2 linked regions of the Elephas maximus indicus genome follow. The protein of the gene in region 1 interacts with the protein of each later gene in a pairwise test. Links are inferred from orthologs where the notes say so. Each region holds a gene or a part of one and is shown on either strand. Other genes may lie near its edges.

Region 1 (7,470 bases):
TACATGTGGCCTCTCCATGTGACCTGGGCATCTCACCACATGATGGATGGTGAAGCACAGTGAGCTTCTCTTATATATGGTCTTTCTGGCTTTGGGTTTATAATTCCACCAAAATGATTGGCTAGACCAAACTCTTGCAAAGGGATTGGTCAGTTTACTATGCAAATTCAGTGACTGTGGTCTACTGAGGGGACTGGTCAGTTCATGGTCTGGCTGGGAGGGACGTGCCTTGAAACTGAATATAAGAGCCAATCCCACAGAGGTTGGGGGGGACCTCACTACCATCAAGACATCAAGAAAAGCCTGGAGTGGAGCATGTTCTTTGGACCTGGGGTCCCTGCACCGAGAATGTGCTAGACACAGCATAGAGAGAGCTGTAATACTGAAGACAGTGTGAGATGAGGGGAGCTGGCAGCAAGCACAGCACAGCCCAGCAGCAGCGGTACCAGCGGGAACCAGGAGACCAGCACAAGGCGGTTGCAGTGTGCTTGACCACCCACTGAGTGAGAGGGAGCTGTAAGCCTTCAGGCAGGGGACTTGCTGGTGGAGCAGGGTATCTCCAGGCACTTGTTGGCAGAGCTAAAGAACTGTAACACTTGCCCACGCAGGACGGAGGCACAGAGAATGGACTTTGTACAGGCACAATCGAGAAGAATCTGAGCTATCTTGGCTGGAAGCTATCCTGATTACAGAACCATATCCTGTTTCCTGAGTTGTATCCTGTTACTTCCAATTTGATCCTGACCCCGAGTTGCAGCCTGTTATTTCCCAGACCGCATAATCATGAGTATGGTCTGTGAGTTCTATGTGGCCACTGTAATGAATTATGGAACCCTGCAGAGAAATAAAGGGTGCAGGGGCGGGGGTGGGGGTTGACGGCTGGTGTCAGAAATGGTGAAAAAGTTGGAGAGTGGAGGTATGTCTGACCTCCACTTCACAGGAACCAGCTTTGTGCTGACCTTGATTCTCATCTCTCCTCTTGAAGTTAGACGGCTTCTGATAGTTAGGTTACACATGGGTTCTGACAAGGAGCAGCTCAAAAGTGAGAATTCCAGGAGACAAAGCAGAATTGATAAGGTTTCTTTTGATTAAACACAGAAATCACATAGTGACACTTCTACCACATTTAAGTAGTTATACGGGCAGCCCAGATCCAGTATGGGAGAGAGCCACTCAGGGTGTGAATACTGGGAGTCAAGGCTCACTGGACAGCCATCTTTGAAAACAAGCTAACATAAAAAAAAAAAAAAACATACTAACTTACAAAAGGGAATCTTCATATGGTGGTCTTAAATTAGGTCCCTAGCTGGTACAAACAGTTTGCGCTCAACTGTTATCCTAAAGGTTGGTGGTTCGAACCCACCCAGCGATACCATGGAAGAAAAGTTCCAGAAATCTGATTCCGTTAAGATTAAAGTCAAGAAAACCCCATGGAGCAGTTCTCTTCAGTAACGCACGGTGCTACGAGTCAGAATAGACTCAATGGCAACCAGTGATGACAACAGGTCTTAAATTTATCTAACTGTAAAGTTAAGGGAAGAAAAGGTAGAAGAATATTTTTGTGACAGGAGTGGGAAAGGACTTATCGAATAAAGCTTCAAAAGCACAAAATCACAGGGCAGAGGAAAAAAAAGATGGATCATATTATATCACAATACAATATTTCTGGCAACGAAGGAAATCATGGAGAAGTTAGCATACAGATGGCAGGATTGAGGAGATACCTGCAGTATCTAAAACTGAGAGGCAATTAATGTCTAAATATAAACTCCCACAAATCAACTAAAAAAAGAGAGCATTCTACATTTTTTTAAATGGGCAAAGATATTAAAAAGCAATTTACAAACAGTAACCCTCAATACTAACAAGCTTATGAAGAGGTGCTCAAAATCATTCGTAATCAGAAAGGTGCAAAGTAAAACAGCGAGCTATCATTTTATACCTATTAGCCTGGCAAAAATTAAAATGCTGGATAATACCAAGTGTGAGTATGTTTGCATGAGGAACGTAGGGAAATAGGAACCCTCACACACTGCAGGTGAGAAGAAGGACTGGTACAGCCATCTGGACAGCATATGAAACTATTCTGGGATATATGTACCCATAAGAGGAACTGCTGGATTTATAGAGATGTATATATATCTAAGTCGTCTAAGAAACACTCTCACAGGCCAGGTAGCTATTAAAGGAGGATGTCCACTGCAGCATCATTTCTTGGTTGTTTTACTTAGTATGTGTGTGTGCATGTATTCAAGGCCTTGGGTAGTAGCAGTGATAATGGCAGACCGTTGGGGGCCAAGCTGAGTGTCCATCACTGGTAGAATAATACACAATGGTGGATTCTCACTATGGAATACTAAGCACCAGTTAGAAGCCACAGATTAAGTACACATAGAGCAGCATGAATGAATCTTAATTTTCCACTAAGCATTCTGTTTTGTAATGAACAGATTGATATATGTAATGCAATACCATTTACATAAATTGAAAATACATACAGATGAAACAATATGCATTTTGCAAGGATATGTACAACAAAAACACACATTAACACATAAGAAAGGTTGCTACTGGGGGCAGAGGAATAACAGTACAAGGATAAAAAGCTAATAGAAAAAAAAGTTAAATATTAGAGGATTTATATTACCCAACTTCAAGACATAATAAAGCAACAGTAATCAGACAGTGTGGTATTGACGTCAAGATAGACAAATAGATCAATGAAACAGAATAGACAGCCCAGAAATAAACTCACATATAAAGGGTTAACTGACTTTTTTACAAAGGTACAAAGGCAACTCAGTGGAGAAACAATTGGATATTGATATACAAAAAGTGAATTTGGGTCCTTAACTCCCAGCATATAAAAAAATTAACTCAAAATGGATCATACACCTAAATGTAAAACTGAAAACTATAAAACTTCTAGAAGAAAACATAGGAGAAATGTGACCTTAGGTTAGGCAAAGATTTTTTAGCAACACCACCAAAATAGCAATTCACAAAAGAAACATTTGACAAATTGAAGTTTATCCGATAAAATTAAGAACTTTTGCTCTTTGAAAGACACTGTAAGAAAATGCAAACAAAATATTTGCAAACCATATATCTGATGAAGTTCTCGTATCCCAAATAAAATACTCTCAAAATTCAAAAAGGAAACAATCCAGGTTTTTGTTTTTTTTTTTAATGGGCGGGAAATTTGAACAGGCAATTCACCAAAGATTTACCTATGGCAAATAAGCACAGGAAAAGATGTTCAATATCATTAGTCCTTAAGGAAACTCAAAACCACTAGACACTAATTAGAGTGGCTAAAATGAAAGGAACAGACCATAGGAAGTGTTGACAAGGATGTGGAGGAACTGGAACTCTCCTATGCTGCTGCTGAGAATGTAAAATGATAGAACCACCTTGGAAAATAGCTTGGCAGTTTCCTAAAAAATTACAAACAGACCTAGTCACAATTCCACTCCTAGATATTTAGCCAAGAGAAATGAAAGCATATACCCATACAATGACTTGTACACAAATGGTCAGAGCAGCTTGACTTGTAATAGCCCCAAACTGGAAACAATCCAAATGTCCATCAACAGATGAATGGATAAACAAATTGTAGCATATCCATAGCATGTAATACTATAAAATAATTTTTAAAAATTATTTACAATAAAAAGGAACTATTGACACATGCTGGCTTTCTGAATGGTGCAAATAGCTTGCACTTGACTACTAACTGTTGGAATCCACCCAGCGTTGCCCAGGAAGCCCTAAGATTACAGCCACTGAAAACCCTATGGAGCACACGGGGTTTCCACGAGTCGACTTGACCGTAATAGGGTACTGAAAGATGCAACAACATGGACGAGCCTCAAAACAATTATGCTGAGTGAAAGAAGTCGGACCAAAAGAGAGAGAGAGAGATTATATACTGTATGATTCCATTCACGTAAAATTATAGAATATAGAAAATACAAATTAATCTACAATGACGGAAAGTAGATCAGTCGATGCAGGTGCGGGAAGAAAGGGCCTACAAAGCGGCAGGAGGAACTTTTAGGGATGATGGATATGTTCATAGTTTGATTGTGCTGATGGCTTGACGGTGGCATACATACCTCAAAACTTCTCAAATTGTGCCCTTTGAATATGCGCAGTTTAACGTATGTCACTTACACCTCAAAGTGCTTGTAAAACGGAAAAGGCGAGGTCATCCTGTGTCTAGGATCACGCAGCTGCTAAGCGGCAGAGCACGGTTCAGACGCAGAAGTCTGCGTTTGAAGCCCGGGTTACCACTCCCCAAACTCCTTGGAGCAACCGCACCGACGGCGGCGCTAAGAGGAAAGGCAGGCGCTGCAGGGACGCCGAGCCCCGGCGGGTGCGCCGCTGTGAGCGTTAATCATTACCTGGGTCGGCCGCTCCGGCGCGAACGGAAAGGCGGGCCGCGGGCTCCACCCCGGTCGGGGGCGGGCCGGGGACGGCCCGAGCGGGTTCCGCCCGGCCGCTCGCCTAGTGCGCCTGGCCGCGGCGCTCGCCTCTCGGCCGGCCGCCTGCTGCCTGCCCGCGTCCAGCGCGCTCCGACATGGTGAGGGAGGGCAGGGCGGGCCGCGGGAGGCCGGCCGCCGGGGCTCGGAGGAGAGGAGGGGGGCAGCCGGTCCTGGCCCAGGCCCGCCGCGAGGCCGGGAGCCGAGGGGCCCCGGGAGCGGAGGGGCCCCGGCAGCCGAGGGGCCCCGGGAGCGGCCGGACCCGCCGCTCTCCGCGCTGCGAGGGTCGGCATTTCCGGGTCTCGGAGCGGCCGCCTGGAGTTCACGCCCCGCTCCCAGCTCCTGGGGGTGCACGAGGGGAAGCTGAGGCTCCCAGAGGGGCGGTGCAGGGCCGGGTAACCGCGAGCGGGAGCCCAGGCCTGGCTCTGACTTCCAGGCCAGGGCTCGCTCCGCGCCGCGGTGCTGGGGCGGGGCTGTGGGAGCAGGGAACGGGTGAGGCGAGGCGTCCTAGGGAGCCAGCAGTTGTCGTCCCCGTTAGTGGCACGTTTCTGTTCTCTTCTGGGGGGAGACTGAATTTGTGTGTGCTTGTGCGTGCGTGTGTACTGCCCCTTCTCGATTGCGCTTCTGACCTCACCTGGGTACAGCGTCTGTCTGGGACCAAGGCCCATCAGTGGAGGCATGATGGCCCAGGACCATTTAGTCCGGGCTGAGCTGTCCGCCAGGAGGGTCTGGGCCCTTGACTCAGCGTCAGCACTCCCACCCTCAGCCAGGGAGGTGACGGTGAGCCTGTGGGGGCATCAAGGAAGCTTTACTAGACACAGCCTATTTCGGCCCCAACACATTCGGGGCAGTGAGGACTGCGGTGACAACAGGGAGGGCCTTTTGAAAACTGTGGCTTGGGGGTGGGTTTGGGGGGCAGTGAGTAAGGCTGTTGTGAACTGCAGGAGGCCCCAGACACAGGGGGCGGGTAATCAGTATCCCTCTGCACACCCGCTTAGGCTGGAGGCAGAGTTCAGGCCTGACGGTGAATTTACTAATCAAACATGGCCCCTTCCCCCTCCCTGATCCCACAGGCTGTGGGCTTTGGGGGGTTCCAGAAGACTCTGAGGAGAGAGGGCGTTCTCCCAGGAACTCATCAGTCCCACCCACCCCTCTCAGAGCCAAAGGAGTGAACAGTGGATTTGGGTGCCTGGGCTGACTTCCGGCCATCTGGTTGCCTGGATACATGGACCAGGCTTATTAGCACTGAGAAGGGCAAGCTCCGGAATAGAGAGAAGGTTGCGTGGATGACGCCGAGTAAGCACTGCCATCTCGGTAACCACTGAAGAGGAGGAGAGGGGCCAGATCAGATCAGTTTGGCGAGGGAGGGGGGACACCAGTCTTCAGGAGAGAGGAAAAGATTGATCTATCAGTGCCTGGCAGTGCCCCTCCAGGCCTACCCAAACCCTGCCAGGCCCATTGCCAGCCCACTTAACCCAAGAAGTCTTTAGGAAATGCAGTAACAGTGCACTTTATCAAATTGTCCTGTTAACTCCTCGTGCTGATCTGTGAAGTGGAAGTTTTTGTCCGTATTTTCCGCACGAGTCCAAGAGAGGTGAAGTGCCACATGGCCGACAAATGGCAGAACTGGGGCTTGAACCTCTCCTGCCAGTTCAGCCCAGGGCTGTCAGGCTGAGGGTTGCAGACCACTTAACACCCCTCACATTCTCTCTCCAGACTTAGTGATTTTTTTCAGTTTAGTACTTTATCAGTTTCTGCCCTTGGGTGATTCTCTCTCTGGATTCTACATTCTGGGATCCCTTAAGCTCCTAGACCTAGACAGTAGAACTGACCTTTGCTTCATTTATTCTCTGAGGGGTCAACTCCTGGCCTGAATGGTGCCAGTCTGAGCCACCTGAGGGCACTTTGCACAATAGGTACATATGACAGGACCTGGGGTTCCAGGGCCATCTGTGATGGTGCCCATAGCCTCACGTCACCCCTCAGCATCCCATTACCCACCTGCCATACCCCACGCTCCAGGACCCAGGCCTGCAGTCAGCAACCAGCTGCTCCAGACTGTGTCCCATGCCTAAGGCTCTTCCCCCTCTGAGTAGCATGGCTCACCACCCCGTCAGTGTAGAGGGCAACTTCTTATCTTGGCTGAGCTTAAGAACTCCTTCCTCTAGGAAGCTGGTCCTGGTTTTCCTCTGGCCTCCCCACAGCATAATTGAACACTGCCTCCTTGAAGTCCCCACAGTCTTGCAGACAGACACTGGGGAGCCAGGCTGTGTGGGTAGGGGTTTATCTTGGCCTTTGGCCAAATGACTTCCATTTCGGGTCTGAACTCTGTGGCCCGGGCTTCAGAAGCTGCCAGAATAAAAAAAAAAGAAAAAACCCGTTGCCCTCAAGTTGATTCCGACTCATAGCAACCCTGTAGGACAGAGAAGAACTGCCCCATAGAGTTTCCAAGGAGCTCCTGGTGGATTCAAACTGCTGACCTTTTGGTTAGCAACTATAGCACTTAACCGCTACACCACCAGGTTATTCCCAGAATAGAAAAAAAATAAAAAAAAGAAGATGGAAAATCTGAGAAACTGAAGCCCAGCAGCTTCGGACTAGAAGCTGCGAGGTGAGAGTGACAGAGAACCTACTAGATATAGTGCCAGTGGTTGTCAACTGCAGTGTGCTAAGAATCACCTGGGAAACTTGTTTGAAATGGCAGTTCCTTCACCAGGCCCCCAGGAATGCCAATTCAGTGGTCAGGAGCAGGACCTAGGAATCTGCATATTTCTGCTGCAAGTGGTCCACAGACCACCCTGAGAACACTGCCTGCGCTGTCACTGACTAGGGGTAGGGGTGGAGGGAACAGCAGACAAGCCATTTCCCCTCCCTAGGCCTCAGTTTCCTTTTCAATATACCTAACAATGAGTAATAGCCGGGCCATGGGGGTGAACTAGAAAAGAAAGATAATAGAAAGGAAAGCTGGAGAGTTGGGGGTACTCTT
Region 2 (7,403 bases), on another chromosome or scaffold:
AGGGCGGGACCTCCCTGACCAGTGCCTAAGGAGTCAGGACCAGCTGGGATCCTGGGACATGTGGGCATGAGGCGTATCCTAGAAGGTGAGCTGTCACTGAGACACGCCAGATGGCTTACAGCCCCAAGCCCCAGATGAGGTGGGCGGGCCTGGTTGACACCAGGGCGGCGAACCACCCATGCTGGGCCATCTGTTGTTTGCACAGGTACATGACTGCCCAGGGAGGGGTCCCCAGGATGACTGCCCCGTAGCCCACTGCACAACCAGCTGAGGGATGGAGGGGGAGAAAGGGGAAAAGGAAGGGAATGAGTAGGGGACAGAGTGGGCGAGGGTGGCGGAAAGGTGTGTAGGGGCCCTGGGGATAAAGCCAGGGAAAGGAAGGCACCATCAGAGGTACCTGCAGACTGCCTGGCCGCAGCTCACCGAGGCTCTGCGCCTGGCTTGGTGGGCAAGACCAGAATCAGCGACATAGTTTCGGGAGCCCAACGTAGAATGGGGAAAAAATTGTTAAGAATTTCAAGGTGGCAGCAGCAGTGCTTTGGACCAAGTGTGGGCCATTCTGAGCAAGAGGCCCTGGACAGATGCATACTGGGGAGATCACTGCTCCCCAGTGTTAACCAGTCACCCCACTATATGGCCCAGCCCATGGGGGTAGGGGGGGCTCCTGCCCAGCACTGCCTCTGTCTGCTATCTGATGACATGAGTCCACCACAAATGCCAAGGGGCTCTGGGTTAATTTCTTTGCTTGAAATGGCCTTAGAAGACAGCCCAGCTTTCCAAGTCTACATATTTCCTGTTTCTCTCTAGAATTGTTTTTAAATTATTTCCATCAACTTAATGCCTTAACTTTGAGCACCTGTTTAAAATAATTGCTTATGGAGTAAGGGGAGAGAAGGGGGCAGTCGCTGGCCACTGGCTGCCCTGCGCATCAAGCCTTCGACATGAGCCTCCTCCAGCAGACGGCAACAGTGCTGGAGGTCCTCCTGGGGGACCAAATGCACACAGCTTCCCAGAGACCTCGCTTTATCACCTCAGGGCCCAGAAAGGAAGAGGCTGCCCTTGGGCATGGCACTGCATGGGGCTGCCCAAGGACCAGGCGCAGTCATCTGTCCTCAGGGCTCACCTGTTTCCTGGAGAGGCTTGAAGCACCAGGGCACACCACGGATGCTGGAGTCGAAGCAACAGCCTCTGCTGTTGCACTGCTCTGGGGTGACCTGGGGGTAGCCGCAGTCCACCCTATCCTTGGCCGGAACAGCACACTGGTTCGCCGCTGCTCCAGACAAAGCCCAGTCAGTGTCCGGAGTACTTACAAGTTTGGGTTGCTTTGTTCCCTCCCTTTTGCCACTTTCCACTTTCCACCATCTCTCTCCCACCACCCACCAGCCCTGAGTTCAAATGATGGTGATACCTTCTGCCCCTCAATATTGTCTTTCCCTGTAAATAAACCAAGCCCATGGCCATCAAGTCCGTTCTGACTCATGGTGACCCCTTGTGTGACAGAGTAGAATTGTGCTCCACAGGGTTTTCTTGGCTTTAATCTTTACAGAAGTAGTTCATAGGCCTTTCTTCCACAGCACCACTAGGTAAGTGCAAGCCACGAATCTTTTGGTAGTTGCTGAGCACAAAACTTTTGCGCCACCCAGGGACCATGTAAATGGTTAAAGGAAAGTATCTGTGAATGCTAAGTTCAGCAGCCTCAGTGACCCAGGAAGTCTGGCAAGTTGCCTAGTGACTGTCTCACTCAACGTGTTCCATATCACTTTCTCAGGAAATCAGATACAGCCTGGGTACCCTCCAGCTGGGAGGGGCTTGTGCAAACCTGGGGTCCCCTGAACCAGGAAACAAAGTTTCCTTTCACTGCTCTACCAAACAGAACTTGCCCTGACTTTTTTATGACAAATATTTATACACTCGCTAGAGAACATCACCAAGTATGCTGAGCCTGGTTAACTTCTCCTGTCCGTTCTCCCATCCCCAGATTGTTCAGCTTCTCACAGCTTCTCCATACAACTTTCAGCCTCCAATATTCACTTTTCAGGTAAGTCTAATACACCCGTGTGTTCAGCAAAGTTCACTTCATCTCATCAACTCACTGGGTTTTCCTTCAGGAAAACAGAAATCCCACGAAATCTCTTAAATCTTCTATTGCTGCAGTTCAGAATTTCTTATGCCGGTGTGTTCCCAAACTGGGTTGCACATTGGACCACTCGTGAATCTTTCATAACACCACCCCTGTCTGGCTCCCACCAAAACATTCTGGTGTAATCCATCTACTGTGGCTTAAGCATTGGGATTTTTCAAAATTCTCAGGTGATTCTTAAGTTAGGGACAACTACCTGTGGTCCTGCTCAGTGATAACTGGATAAAGCCACACCATAATCTCATCAAACTTGGGTAAGGGGACAGCCACACCTCCACCTGGAGTTCAGTGCAAGTGCTCAATGAAAACTGTTCTTTCTTCTAATTTCTCATGTAGGCTTTGAAAATGTTCCAGAAATAATCATTTTCACTTGTCTTTCTTTCTTTTTTGTAAATGTGCTCAAAGGATGCCCAAAGATGGATTGCACTGCAGAAACCCTTGGCAAAAAAGGCCTTGGAATAGTGGGCAGGGAGGGACCACTGGGGGCTGGCTGCGACACTGACTGGGAGGGCTGCCTTAGGTAAGTTCTGAATCTTCCCTGAGCCTTAGTTTCCTTGTCTGCAAAATGGGACAGTAAGACCCTCTCTGTAAGTTCATGGTGGGAAAACGTGCAGATCTCACAATGATCATCATTAAATGAGGGCATCCTCCTGGCTCTCAAGCCACGGAAAGCCCCCTGAGCCTAGAGTTTCTGCATGTCTTTTTCCTTCACTGTACGTCCCCCATGCCCATCAGCGACCCTCTTTCCAGAGGCGGTACTCACACAGGCCGATATACTCTCCAGCTGATCTGTAAAACCCCAAGGCCAGGACCATGGCTAGCAGCCAGAGCGCTCGGGCCTCCATGGTGCCGCAGGCTCAGGACCAAAGCTGAGGAGACTGCGCACACCTGCCCTGAGACACCTTTATACCCCTGTGTTTGCACAGGCTCCAGTGGTGTTTGCTGGTGGGTTTCCTCCTGTGGCCTCCGGCTCCGCCTACTTGGCTCTTACACTGGATTTTAAAGTCTCCAGAAGGACAGAAAGATTGGGCAAGATTTCACTCCCTGCAGGGTTATCACGCCTCTCTGTGTCAACCACCACCTGGAAGACGGGGAGAAGATGATAAGGGCTCCACTTGGGGCTGGAGCGTGCAGTCGACAGGTGCTGAGACATTCCGTATTCAACAACAAGAGCTCCCACAGTCACTTAAGGCCAGTTCAGTCTCTGATACTTGAAAAGCAACAACTACATGTCCGCAGGCTGGGTACGTGGGATTTCATTTCTCTCTTACAACACTTAGAAGGCTGTCATGGATTGACTTGTGTCCCCCCAAAATATCTGTCAACTTGGCTAGGTCTTGATTCCCTTGTATGATTGTCTACCATTTTGTCATCCTATGAGATTTTCCTATGTGTTGTAAATCCCATCACTATGATGTAAGAAGATGAAGTAGCGGCAGTTTTATATATAAATACTATTATATACACTGATGAGGTCTATGACATTAGTAGTGTCTTAAGCCGATCTCTTTTGAGATATAAAAGAGAGAAGCGAGCAGAGAGACATGGGAACCTCATGCCGCCAAGAAAGCAGTGCCAGGAGCAGAGCACGTCCTTTGGACCTGAGGTTCCTGCACTGAGATGCTCCCAGACCGAGGGAAGACTGACGAAAAGGACCTTCCTCCAGAGCCAACAGAGAGAGAAGGTCTTCTCCTGGAGCTGAAGCCCTGAATTTGGACTCGTAGCCTACTTGACTATGAGAGAATAAATTTCTCTTTGTTAAGCCATCCACTCGTGGCATTTCTGTTATAGCAGCACTAAATGACTAAGACAAAGGCAGAAATTCCTCTTTTTTCTTTTTTCCAGAAAAAATTATTTATGTTCTTAACCGTATCTTAATAAATGTATTAAATAAACTTATTAACACCAGTTGGCACCCCGTTGACTCCCTACCCCTGGCAGCCTCGTGTGTGTCAGAGCAGAACTGTGCCCCACAGGGTTTTCAGCGGGTGATTCAGCAGAAGTAGATCACCAGGCCTGTCTTCTGAGGCACCTCTGGGAAGACTTGAACCACCAACCTTTCGGTCAGCTGCTGTGTGCATTAACTATTTGTACCACCCAGGGACTCTAAAAAATAAACTTATTAGGTACATTTTAATTAAAGTATAACACACCCACTTGGTTTTTGTAAATCCAACAGTTCAAAAGACCCCCTGTCCAGAGATATCCATTTTTACCACCATCTTAGCTAGCCTTCCAGAAATCTTTTATCTAGATTCGGGTACATTTTTGGAGCCCTGGTGGCACAGCGGTTAAGAGCTCAGCTGTCAACCAAAAGGTCAGCAGTTCGAATTCACCATTCGCTCCTTGGAAACCTGTAGGGTCATTATAGGGTCACTATGGGTTGGAATCGAGACAATGGCAATTTTTTGTTTGTTTGTTTAGGTACATTTTTAACACAAATGGAACCTTACTATACACCTTCCCCTAATTTGCATTTTTAAATTGCATATCTATATTGGAAATTGTTTCCCAGCGGCATATCTAGATGAGACGGAAATAATTATACCCATTTTCTGAAGGGAGAAACTGAGGCTCAAAATTTAAGTTTACCCAGTAGATTCATAAGAGTTGGGATTCAACTCTCTTCTGTCTTAACTCTTTCTGTTCATAGTCCTGTACCACCTACGCACTGGGCAGAACGGGGGACCTCATTCCCAGGAAACTGTGGAACCCTAGTTATCATTGTGTTCTCTGTGTTTCTCTACTGCTTGGGGACTCTTACCTATGTGCAGGAAACCTGCGAAAGGCAGAACCTGTCTAAGGTAGAAACCTGTCAGAAAAGGAAACCTAGAATATTTTCCATTAATGCAGAGAGATAGAAAAGTGGTTAATTGAACCCTGTCAGAGGCAGAAGCCTTTTGAGTCCTGGAAGAAAACAAGGCAGTCCCGTCGAGTTCTGGCTCTCACAGGTTTCTCTGTATTCGCTTAATCAGGTTGCTCAGGGACTCCTCCGGGAACCTCACTGGAAAATCCCCCAGGTAGGTTTTGTACATCATCCCAGGAACTGGAGCACCTGGCAGCTCCTGCTTAGACTCCTGGTACATTGTAGGGGAGTGGGGAGAATCTGAGCTACCCAGGTTGGACCACAGAGCCGTCCTTCACTGAATGATGGTTGGGAGCCAGACTGTAAATGCTTCGGGAACAGGGACATGTCCCACCTCATGTAGCCTGTGTCTGCCCTCACACTCAGTAAGCCCTTAGGGAGCCATGCCTGCCCCTGACACTCAGTAAGTACTCAGGGAGCCACGCCTGCCCCCAGCACTCAGTAAGCCCTCGGGGACCCACGCCCACCCCTGACACTAAGTAAGCCCTCGGGGACCCACACCCACCTCTGACACTCAATAAGTCCTCAGGGACTCACGCCTACCCTGGCACTTACTAAACCCTCGGGGACCCACACCCACCTCTGACACTCAATAAGTCCTCAGGGACCCACGCCTACCCTGGCACCCGGTAAGTACTCAGAGATCCACGCCCACCCCTGACACTCGGTAAGCCTTCCGTGAATTGATATGAGTCAACACTCACCACCTGGTTCACCACTCCTCTTAGGGCAAGTGAAGTAGAGAAGAAAGGAAGAGTGATTTCTGCGCTGTTTTCGGGCATTTTCTTTGTCCCCAAGGGAAGATAGTGAACTGAGGCTAAGATCTAACATGGTTTTATGTTATTAGAAAGATCCTCACAGGGGAGATTTCCTGGGTGCTTTTTCTTACCAGACCCCTGCCATCCCCGTCCCTCAATACTCAGAGGCCAGGCAACAGGTGGGCCTGGACCTGGTCCCAGGAAAACATCAGTACCAGAAACCGGCTGGTGCACCTACAGCCCTTGTTGTCGGGGGAGCAGGTGGAAGGTTGTTTTCAGGCTGCGAAGCAGAGAATGTCTCCAGGAGCGGTGTCCCTTCCCCCTGCGCCCACTGCTTAGAGTCACCAGGAGAGCTGGAACACCTGGTTCTGAGGCCAGGTACCTCAGAGTCCCTGAAGGGGGGCCCAGCCCATTGCCCACCCAGCCTGAGGGCCACTGCCCCGGTGTATGCTTCTGGTAACTCAGGATATGTTGACTGAGCACCTACTTGGCAATGCCTGGAGCTTGGGGCTGGGGAAGGAATAACAGAGGTGACACACTCCTGTCCTCAAAGCCACAGCAGCGGAGACAGTGTCATGTCATAACTGCGATCATGATACTGGGAGACTTGGTTCCAAGCCCTGGACTGCATGCCCTTGGGCAAGTCACATCATCACCTGCCTGTGCCTCAGTTTCCTTGCCTGTGGACTAGTCCCTCCCCACAGGACTGTGGTGAGATCTCTGGAGCCAGGGTGGGCTGGAGACACACACCGACCACTTGTCAGGACAGGGGTGACAGCGAAGACAGAGACAGCGTCACTGACACACCACACACGGCTCTGGCAGACTAACACACGGTGGGCGTGGGGAGGATGGAGATGAACCCCACCAGGTGGAAACAGCACAGGATTCGTAGAGGAAAGGTGCTCGAGCTGGGCTTTTGGAGACTGAGGCAAGTGAGTAAGTGTTCATGGGTGCAGCAGTCCCTGGGTGGTACCAACGGTTAAGCACTCAGCTGCTAACTGAAAGGTTGGGGGTTTGAGTCCATCCAGAGATACCTCAGAAGAAAGGCCTGGAGGTCTACTTCCAAAAAATCAGCCATGAAAACTCTCTGGAGCCCAGTTCTACTCTGACGCACATGCGGTTGCCATGAGTTGGAGTCAACTCAATGGCAACAATTTGTTTTTCTTCCTGTCTGTGTGTTCAGTCTTTTAGGTTCCAGTGAGGCCTTATCAGGGGCCCAGGCCCTGCCAGTCACCAGCAGCAGAAACCAGGGGTAAGGACAGCCCTGCCTTCAGGGGCCCAAAGTCTGGAGCCTTCCTGGCCTTCCTGCTCTCCTGGGGGAACTGAAGCTCCAGGGAGGAAGTAAAGCTGGAGGCCTGAGGAGTATTGGACCTCGGGCCCCATCCGACAGGTGGCTGTGTAGGTGCCCTGAGATCTGGGGTGAGCAAACACAGGCTCCTTCCTCCCCCTGAGCAAGGCGTCTCTCCAGCAATCTCCCAGCTGTGAGCATGGACTACCCAGGAACCTAGCCTTGAAAACCCTCCCACCTTAGGCTTCATGAGCTGGTACCTGGGGGAAGGGAGTCTCCTGGAGGGGCTCAAAAAGCAGGCTGTGAGGTCCCAAATGCCACAGCTGCAACTCTCTTCCCAGGAAAAGC

What was found.
Region 2: the proteins of PCBD1 (region 1) and TFF3 interact in binary tests that used the Homo sapiens proteins (3 or more experiments, as listed by UniProt). The two-hybrid records come from large-scale screens. The link is inferred for Elephas maximus indicus from reciprocal best matches to the Homo sapiens genes PCBD1 and TFF3.

Annotation. Positions count from the first base shown.
Region 1 is NC_064834.1:16,846,092-16,853,561, forward strand, and holds the start of PCBD1 (pterin-4-alpha-carbinolamine dehydratase), read left to right. Parts: upstream 1-4,454; 5' UTR 4,455-4,582; coding exon 4,583-4,585; intron 4,586-5,558; exon of another isoform or gene 5,559-5,780; intron 5,781-7,470. UniProt on the Homo sapiens protein: Involved in tetrahydrobiopterin biosynthesis. Seems to both prevent the formation of 7-pterins and accelerate the formation of quinonoid-BH2. Coactivator for HNF1A-dependent transcription.
Region 2 is NC_064820.1:226,085,131-226,092,533, forward strand, and holds the start of TFF3 (trefoil factor 3), read right to left. Parts: upstream 3,006-7,403; 5' UTR 2,986-3,005; coding exon 2,904-2,985; intron 1,271-2,903; coding exon 1,124-1,270; intron 1-1,123. UniProt on the Homo sapiens protein: Involved in the maintenance and repair of the intestinal mucosa. Promotes the mobility of epithelial cells in healing processes (motogen).